Linked DNA regions of Caenorhabditis elegans. The protein of the gene in region 1 purifies or fractionates together with the protein of each later gene. This does not show direct contact. Each region holds a gene or a part of one and is shown on either strand. Other genes may lie near its edges.

Region 1 (4,139 bases):
TACATTTATAAACGAGTTGGTGAGAGATTCTAGTTAAGGAATTTTGATATGACAGTGGATTTTCTATTTTTCGATTGTGAAGAATTCAAAAGTTAGTTTGTAGAATCACCAGCAGCGTTGTTATTCGTTGGTTGAGTTTTTGCAGAACGTTGATGACTCCTGAAAACAAAAAGAATTTTAAAGACAAATCATGAGGTAGCAAATTTTTTGGAAAAAATATTCGATCATATTTTATTACGACGATTTCGAAAAAAATGTACCATTTGTAAATTTTCGAAAAAAAAATTACTGGAAACTTATGAACTTAAAAAAATTGTTTTTTAAAAAATTTAACAAAAAATACACTGGACAAAAAACTAGTAACTAGAGTCAAAAAATGGCTAAAATTGTTAAAATTTCAACAAAAAAATCTTACAAAATTTTTTCATACTATTTGCATATTTTTCCATTTATTATGAGTTTTTTGGTACATTTCCGTCGATTATGCAAAAATTTCATCTATCGACCAAAAATCGCAATCAATGAAAAATTGTCGTGAACGACAAAAATATGTGATAAATAAGTAAGAATTACTTTGAAGCGTTAAATTTGAAAATAATTTGAATTAAAAATTTATAATAATTTACCGCCATAATGACACCAAATCTTTCACATTTGCTTCCCGAATATCTTCCATTTCGAGCATCATTCTCATCAAAAAAGTCTCAATTTCAATGGTTTTCTTTAATTTTCGTCTGTTTTCCGACCGAATTTCTTCGCGAGCAATGGACTGATCGACGAAGAGTGTCATCTGAGCAAATTCGTCAATAATGCGTGTGTTGGCTTTTTCCTGAAACAAAAATGAATAAAAAGCCTCAATAAAAAGCCCAAAAGCGCTTGAGACCTCAAACGTTTTTAAATTTTGAGTTTATAAAATAACTCACTATTGCGTTATCTATAGCTGCTTGAGAAACTTGTCTTGGCCTTTCTCTGACGTTCTGAACATGTTTGACCATCATCTGCCGATGATTGTGCATAATTGCTTCAAGAGCTAACATCAAATATTCGCGAAGGCATCGAAGCTCATGGGTGTCTTTTTGTAGAAGAATCAACTGAATGAACTCGTTTTTAGGGTTTTCAAAAACATTGGTACAAAAACCTCTTGGTGGCGGCTCGTGTCGTTTGAAGAATTTTTAACCAAACAAACTCGTCCATCCGCATCCAAAGTGTAGTTTTTATTGTTTAGTTTGTTAACTTCTTCATTAAGAAGGTTTTGATGTCCACCATTCCGAGCTAAAAGCGATTCGAGGGTTCTTTTACTGCTGGCGATGCCGTCACTTGCCTGCAAGAAGATTAGTTATTGAAACACTAATACATTTCACTTACAATCTTTTTATAACTCTTGTCAAGACTTTGATTAAGCACGAATTTCTCCAAATTGTTGATAACCTTCTGCGAACTGGCGCTATCAGTCCTGTAACTTTTGAAGCGATAAAAACATTATTATGAACAGATTGACTTACCATTTTACAGTCGTTTCTGCAGAAACTTGTGCTGAATTTTCATCGGGAACAAAAATACTTTCATCATCGGACATGCTTCGCTTTTTTGATTAAATTACAAAAAAAAATCGTTGGAGAAACGAAGAATGTGCATAGTGCACGGAGAGTGCGCTAACACAACTCCTTTGCGCGGTATCGGTGCGAGTCCGGGAAATTCATAAAATTGTTTATTCGTTTCTTGGAATGTTAATGTTCATTTTTATACAGCAAGCACATTTGTGCATTTCCTTCCAGTTTTTTAAAAGAATTATATTGTCGCGCTTTATTTCACCTCCAATGAGAATAATAATTGAATATTTTTTGTAGTAACAACAATGTCTCAACCAAATAAAGATCAGCGAAGTCCAGAAGACATAGACTTTAAGGTCAAAGCGAATCCAAAAGCGTTTCACAAATTTAACGGAAAGTTTCAACGCGTTTTAAGGGATCACGAGGACGATTTCAATATATTGTCTATCAGTATGCAGGATCATTTCGATACTACGAAACAGGTTGCTTTGAATTAAATGAAAAATTAAGAGTTCCTTATTTTCAGCCAAAAGAGGAGTTCGGTAAAAAAATGGATTGGTGCTATCAGCTGAAGAATATAATTTCGAAGAACAATCCAACGTGGCTATTCAATATCGTGCCAACTGGAAGTACAGTAACCGGATTGGCCACTAAAAACAGTGATCTAGACGTTGCAATTCATATCCCACAAGCGGCAAGAGTTCTGGAACAAGAAGAACGTGGAAGAAATATCACAGATGACGAACGACAAGCATCATGGAGAGAGTTAGGCTTTCTCGGGATTAATTAATTATTTAAATGACATAAATTACAGAATTCAATTGGAAATCCTACAAATTGTCCGTCTTAACTTACAAAATGATGAACAGATCAATTCAAGAATTAATTGGGAACATGGAATCCAGCTCGTTCAAGCTCAAATTCAAATTTTGAAAGTGATGACGGTAGACGGAATCGATTGTGATATCAGTGTAGTTATGGATCGATTTCTGTCATCGATGCACAATTCTTTTTTGATTCGACATTTGGCACAGTTAGTTTTCTTGTTGTTAGACATTCTATTTCCAATTAATTTTGAAGTATCGACGGCCGATTTGCACCATTATGTGCAATCGTAAAACAATGGGCAGCCAGTACAAAAGTTAAAGATCCAAAAGATGGAGGATTCAACAGGTTAAATATTAATCACTTTATTTGAATTTATCTAAAATTCTGAAATTTCAGTTATGCACTTGTTCTACTGGTGATTCACTTCCTCCAATGCGGTACATTTCCACCAATACTGCCAAATTTGCAAGAAATCTTTAAAAGTGAGTGAATATATTCTCTGTTGTTTTTTTTTCATAATTAAACATTTCAGAGGATAATTTCATTGCTTGGGATGACAAAGTCTATCCATCAATTTTGAATTTTGGTGCACCACTTCCCAAGCCTCTTCCTAGAATTGCCCCAAATAATGCTCCACTGGCAAGATTGTTCATCGAATTTCTATATTACTACTCGATGTTCAACTTCAAAGAAAACTACATTGGTGCCAGGCCTGTAATGGTCATGGATCGGTAGATTTTTTTTTCTGTGAATACAAATTAACCAATTGGATCTTCTTCAAAATAATAAACTGAAATTTCAGAAGAACATCACAAAACAATATGGTTCGTAGTTCAACAAACAAAGAGGTGTGTATTCAAGATCCATTCGATGAGCACAACCCGGGAAGAACTGTAAGAACATTGAATAGAATTAAAGATGTTATGAGGTAACCTTGAAGAAAACACAGATTTTAATTAATTGCTTACTTTCAGAAGCACATATCAGAAGTTTCTCCCTGTCGAAGGCTCCGAATTCACGTTTCCTACACTAGATGATATTATCAATATGTCACCAGAAGTGCCTAAACCATCGCGTGCAGAAGTTCGAAACTTCCGAGCTGAAGCCACAGAAGTGAATCGAGTCGGCTTAGGTGTCTACTGTCGGAACTCATTTGTATAGTCTTAATATGTCGATGTTTTGTCTTGTGTAATTAATTCAACAATCTATTTATAACATGGAAACAGTACGGTATAATAAAAATAAACCCGGTATAAGACAAAAGAAACAATACAATCACATGATAAAAGGCCACTTGAAAACGTTTCAGGTTTTAAAATTTTGAAAAAGAAACAATTACCCGGATTTCACAAGCATACACAAAGAAGTTGGCAGAAAAATTACAATTAAAAACATGAATTTTGAAAGGTTTGGTTTAAACAATTTGAGGGTTCACAAATACTTCATCCTCATCATCGTCTTCATCGTCAGTGTGTGCTCCTAAATTGATAGCACCATTTGTGGCATTATATTGAGCAAGCGGCGCATATCTAAAAATATTAAAATTCGAATTACGGAGACGATAACTAGCAAGGCTTACTCTACGTTTGAGCTTTTCGTCTCACTTGCACACTTTTTACAGGCACAGATTCCACAAGCCGCAATCAAACTAACTACAATCCAGAACATCAATCCAAATCCAGATGATTTATTAGAATCAATCAAAAGTGTAGGATCCGGCTTGGAGCAGTCCTCTGAAAAAATAATTGTGAGAATACCTGG
Region 2 (5,666 bases), on another chromosome or scaffold:
TGTTTCGAGACCCGCTACCGTATTTGTGGTTCAAAACTAAAAATTAGGGTCCCTCATTGAATGAAAAGAAGCCTACTTTGAAAATCTTCATTCTTGCATCAATAATCTCAAACTTCAGTGATTTTTGCTTATTTTCCGGAACATCTTCCGATGATGTTGTATCTCCCATCTTAAAAAAAGATTTTTATATCTAATAATTCAAATTTATGAAAAAAAAAAGAATTTAAAATTGTAGAGCCTTGCGAAATGAACATGTTAATCACTTTTCTCAAAAATTGGAGAAAGTTTTGAATTTAAAGAAGAGTCACTATTAAACTAAACATTTAAAATAAGCACGAAAAATTCATTTACAAAAGTAAAGAAGAATCAATTGAATGTGTTCCCGCTCTTCCACCTCTCTCTCATCCTGCGTTTCTTTCTTTTCTATGACTCTATTTACGACCTAGAATATATCGATCGTCGTAGCGCGATGTAGCGGTGCATCTCAGGAAAATAACAAATAAACAACAAAATATTCATTTGAAATGAATAATGCCAGATGAGGCAAAAATATTAACAGAATAAGTATTGAATATTAAAAACCGTTGAACAGGGAGAATAAAACTAGATAAACTTAGAACTATTACCGGGACGAGGTGATATTACATGCAGGACACAAAATGTGGATAGGAAAAAATAAGAAAAATGGTACAAGTTTAAAACGAGAAGGGGAACGGGATTTCGAATTCAACATTCCTGGCTGGTGCTCTCCGACGCTTGATTGCCACGACCATCACAAGCCACCGTACCGCATTCTCCACACACATAGAAGCTGAGATTTCGACGCTTGAACTCGTCATCAGGCACTTTGTGGATTCGAACTTCAATTCCATCTGGCAGATTGGTGTGAAGTGCAGTTTGTCGCCTAAATAAAGCCAAATTAGGTTTTAATAATATTAAAGGATAAATTTCTTACGTAATATGTAGGCATCCTGTGGGAACAGTTGCCACGATCCACTTGCTTGTTGGAGATGGTCGCGACATTTCCACTTTTACTCCGTCGTAGTCGTCTGGATTGATATGAAGCATACGATTCCACCATTCTATAAGTAAAAATAAATTTCCATGTTGACCGCAAGCGAGAAATAAACTAACCTTCCAGTGGAAATTCGCTCATATCCGCACGATAAACATTTTGCACATGGATGACACAGTATTGGTGCAAGAAATGTAAAACTGGTCCGGGGAATTTAATTTGAAGCCGAGAATTGCATTCAGTGCATCGAGGATATACGTCTTCCGGACGAATATCTACGTTGAACAGGTCGAAAAACTCAATAAGCTGATCTACGGGAGACATGTTATTGAGTTCCGGAATTGCAATTGTATAATTATCATAATCCATTTTCAAGGCTTCGTAACTTTTCGATGGCACTGTGATTATATGACGTAGATGCTCGCCGCCAACTCGTTCAATTTCCTTCAGGTACTTTCGGAAGTCGCTCACGTCTTTTGGAAGAATAACATCAATTCCAACTCTCCTGAAATAAAAATTTTCAACTTTAACATTTTTTAAAGATAAACTTCAAACCTCAGATTCTTTCCAAATCCAATCAGCATTGTGTCAACAATAACTTTAATGTCGTGTGGTCGCTGTGGTGATCTCGTAGGATTACGATGGCTTCGCAAGATATCGTAGAGCTCAAGCCATGGAATAGTTTTCAGCTTGCGGTACGATTTGTGTCCTTTGTCTTTTTTCGGAGCCATTACATTTGATTCTCTGACAATCTTCTCGATATCTGCGTCCTTGTTTTTCTCCTCTACAATCGACAAGATTTTCTTGAATGTTTCCACCACGACAACTGCGTCCAATGCTGCGTACACAATTTGTTTTTTTCGCAGAGGACGACATTGCCAGTTACTGCATTGTTCAGTTTTGTCGAGCTCCAATCCCAGTAGATAATGTGTCAAATCTGCCAATTTGAAAGTCTTCTTTGGCAGCTCTAAAATTTCCATGTCGATATCGCAAACATTCTCTGCTAATCGCTTCAGATCGAATGCATTTTTGGTATCTTCTATCTTCATGGATGACTTCAGTGCTGGGATTGTAGCCATTGCATCCAGATCGTTCCTCATATCAAATCCTACGACTTTTACAGGAGAATCTCCGAACAATCGAGATGCGAACTTTTGCCACCAGTCATCTGCCATATTTGCCTTTTCTAATTCTACGCAATCCACAAGCCATACACAATTTTTGAAGAACAATTGTATGATAGCAATTTTCGAGTCACTGAAAATCGGTGCATATGGAATTTTAAGAATGAAATTGTTCACTTACTGAACAGCTGTAAGATTCGACGGTTTCCACTCAGAATCGAATCCAACGTAAACAGGTGCTGGCTCGTCGCTTAGTGATTTGATCTCGGAACATAAGTAATTCATCTCAGATTCAGTTTTCACCATGTGGATTTGAGTTCTTCGCTCATTCTCAAATACGAATAATTGTTCGCCATTTAGAGGAACTTGCAGTGTTCTGAACAAAAATGGTTTTAAAAAAGTCGAAGAAATCGAAAACAATTACTTTCTTCTCACTAGAAGTTCTTTTGCTTCTCTGAGCTTCGAATCAGGTTGTCGAAAGAAGTCCCTCATAACATTCGGCAGTTGATAGCTGCTGGAACTAGCGATTCCTAAGTAGATAGCAAAGCAGATGGCATCTATTCTGAAAATTGAATTTTAGAAAGAAAAATCTTTTTGAATGTCACTTACTGTTTCTCGGTGTCATTTGAGCTCCACAAGTAAAACAAAATAGGTTCACGAACATCTTCGGCTTTGGTAAAAGTTTCAACCATATGCTGGAAATAGTTGTCATCGGATTTTCCCTTCTCGTATCGTTCACTGATATTAAACTTCAATGCCTTCAGATTCCCATTCTGTGAGTGGTTTTTGGCGAACTTCGACAATTCCCTGGAGAAGTTGTATTCGTGAGTATTTTTGTTGATAATCGTCGAAATGAGTTTGTCCAACGTTTTTCCCGTCAATTTCTCCATAGGAATCGTCATAATTTTGGTTTCCTTGTAGGGTTTCAGCATCTCTTCAACGGCAACCACTGAGATTCCAACCATTCGATCAAAAAACTCTACAAGCTGCTGTTGCATCCTCTCATTGTTACTTATCAATTTATAAGCCGTTTGATCTTTGCCAGATAGCATTAATGGAAGAACAAGATGTTCGAAATGATGATCCCGTAGAAGATTGTACTGAATAGCCATATCTGCAGCAACGGAGAAGTCTTGTTTCTTGATGGCAGCATCTAGCAACTGTGTAATGTCCTCAGTGAATTTCTCTTTGGTGATATCGAAGATTTCACTGAGAAGCTGCTTTTGTCCAATTGTGCACACATCTAAGGCGTTTATTTGAATAGTTCCAGTCAGATATTTCTGTCTGAGCTCCGTCTCCTGTCCCGACTCTTTTAACCAAACTCCAAAATCCTCCAGATACCAAACCGCCAAACTTTGTCCCGATGTTTTTCCTCTATCCGGCATCGCTTTCATCATATCCACAGCCATTCCGTAGATGTTGACTCCTTTAAATGTATAGATTATGAATGAGGGTTTTTTAAAGTTTTTAATAATAAAAGAACTTTAAAATGTTTACCTGATCTATAGTCCTCGTTGAAAAATTCTCGATTTTTGGCTCGAACTTTTCTCTCCCGCTCAGACTCGGGTCCATTCATAATTGCTTTCAGAACTTCCCGGCGTGACTTCAACGGTTCGGCGTAGTCTGTTCGATATTTTGCCTTTTTCTCGGCTTTCGTTAGCTTTCTTTTGTACGGTTCTTCTTCCATTTTCGAAACGGACAAGCTTGATTCTGTAAAAAGTATAAATAAATATTTGTCGAAAAGTTAGTACAAAAGAAATTAATCAAAGAACAAGGAAAACGTGTTTCCCCACGAGAATTCGTATTACGGAGAGGAAAATCTAGAAACGGCCCAAAAACCGAAAGAACAACAGAAAAGCGTTGTGGATTATTCGATATCCAGCACTTTTTGCACAAATTGAGGCAAAAATAATGGAAAAAGAACCAAGAAATCAATGAACAAAATGGAAAATGAATTTTTAAAAAATTGTCGATGGTATTTAAGATGTGCAGGTTAGCGAATAGTACTGTATCACGGCGGCGATTCAAATGATCTACGAAGCAATTACACGAGGAAAATTAATGGAGATTATGGAGCAAATTGAGGGAATTAATTATAGTATAAAAGTTTCGAAAAGGAAAATTATTATTTATTATCCTATTTAGTTCGCCACACAATGGGAGATTTTAGATGCGTAAATAGTTGAGAGTAGAAAGTAAACTGACTGACTCAAAAAATATGTTTAAAATGTTTATTCGAGATTGAGAAAATAAATTAAATTTCACGAAACCTTTTAAATACATAAGTAAAAAAATGTTTTGTTTTTAAATTTGCCACTATCAAAACTGTCTAACTCTCTAACTCTTATCTTCTCTGCGTAACGATAGAGCGCGTTTACATCATTATTTTTTCATTAAATTTTTTCTATAAATATTTCTTCTTTCTACGACAAACGTTCTCCATTATTGTTTTTGCAGACTTTTTCCATCTAACATGGTTCAAGAAAGCATTATTTCATCTTTCCGTGGAAAACTTGAAAACGATCCAAGCAAATCAACGAGTCTAGCCACAGTGGAAACACTGCTCGAGGTTTTAGACCGGAGTCGCGGTAAGTTCCTGAATTTGAATATTTAGGCAATTAATTTTTTGCTTAATTACAGCCACCACCGTTGCCGAATTTCAAAATGAGCTAAATCAAGTAGTTGCTGCTCTCGAGAAAACGGACTACAGCTCAACATCAATTCGAAGTGCCGCTGATTTGTTCACCAGATTCACTTCTCTGGCTCCAGCTGCTCTTCTCGATCAAGAAGATTTTTCTCAAGTTCTTGATCTGTATCGCCAACGAGCACGCTCATTTATAAAGAATGTCAGAGGTTCTCGAGCCAAAATTTCCAAGTGCGCTCGTCTATTTTTCACTCATCATATGGTACGTTTTTTTTTCTATTTAAATAATTCCTATTTAATGTATTTTAATCTTTGTATTTTCTAGAATATTCTGACACACTCATACAGCAAAGTGGTTCTGGAAACTATTCTTGATGCTCACAAAAGTGGATATCACCTTCATGTCTGGGTCACCGAATCGCAACCGGATGCTTCAGGAAAACTAGTGTTTGAAGAATTGAAAAAGAATGGAGTTCCAACTACTTTAGTTCTAGATAGCTGTGTGGGGTGAGTGGAAATTATAAAAAACAATAAGAAAAACGTATATACATTTTTTATTTTTTAAGATATGTCATGGAAAGAATTCAAGCAGTTCTAGTTGGCGCTGAAGGAGTCATGGAAACCGGTGGAATCATCAATAAAATTGGAACTGTTAATGTTTGTATCATCGCAAAATCACGGCATGTTCCCGTCTATGTTTGCGCTGAAACTATCAAGTTTGTACGGGAGTTCCCACTCAACCAGGCCGATATTCCCCAAGAATTCAAAGTAATCAATTTATATCAAATAACTCAATCAGATCTTTCATTATTTCAGTATCGAACATCAGTAATTGAGAGAAACAACCTAGAATTGGAGCATCCCGATGTGGATTACACCGCAC

What was found. Proteins that work in one complex are often made in the same cells at the same time.
Region 2: the proteins of rde-3 (region 1) and mut-7 purify together in Caenorhabditis elegans (affinity purification with western blotting, with the first as the bait; one study listed by BioGRID). This does not show direct contact.

The regions. Positions count from the first base shown.
Region 1 is NC_003279.8:6,356,112-6,360,250, reverse strand, and holds rde-3 (PAP-associated domain-containing protein), read left to right. Parts: upstream 1-1,840; 5' UTR 1,841-1,855; coding exon 1,856-2,032; intron 2,033-2,076; coding exon 2,077-2,315; intron 2,316-2,364; coding exon 2,365-2,583; intron 2,584-2,630; coding exon 2,631-2,723; intron 2,724-2,774; coding exon 2,775-2,860; intron 2,861-2,910; coding exon 2,911-3,109; intron 3,110-3,180; coding exon 3,181-3,306; intron 3,307-3,352; coding exon 3,353-3,539; 3' UTR 3,540-3,637; downstream 3,638-4,139. Other genes in the region: K04F10.3 (Vacuolar protein sorting-associated protein 28 homolog), read right to left, coding at 93-159, 627-829, 924-1,091, 1,139-1,321, 1,366-1,459, 1,503-1,576; Endoprotease bli-4, read right to left, coding at 3,793-3,907, 3,958-4,111.
Region 2 is NC_003281.10:9,538,530-9,544,195, forward strand, and holds mut-7 (Exonuclease mut-7), read right to left. Parts: upstream 3,852-5,666; 5' UTR 3,827-3,851; coding exon 3,637-3,826; intron 3,566-3,636; coding exon 2,749-3,565; intron 2,702-2,748; coding exon 2,564-2,701; intron 2,516-2,563; coding exon 2,321-2,515; intron 2,273-2,320; coding exon 1,571-2,272; intron 1,521-1,570; coding exon 1,135-1,520; intron 1,083-1,134; coding exon 956-1,082; intron 905-955; coding exon 727-904; 3' UTR 502-726; downstream 1-501. Other genes in the region: ZK1098.3 (uncharacterized protein), read right to left, coding at 77-169; eif-2Balpha (Translation initiation factor eIF2B subunit alpha), read left to right, coding at 4,613-4,727, 4,780-5,045, 5,109-5,290, 5,350-5,551, 5,600-5,666. UniProt on the Caenorhabditis elegans protein: Represses the transposition of Tc1, Tc3, Tc4, and Tc5, perhaps by degrading transposon-specific messages.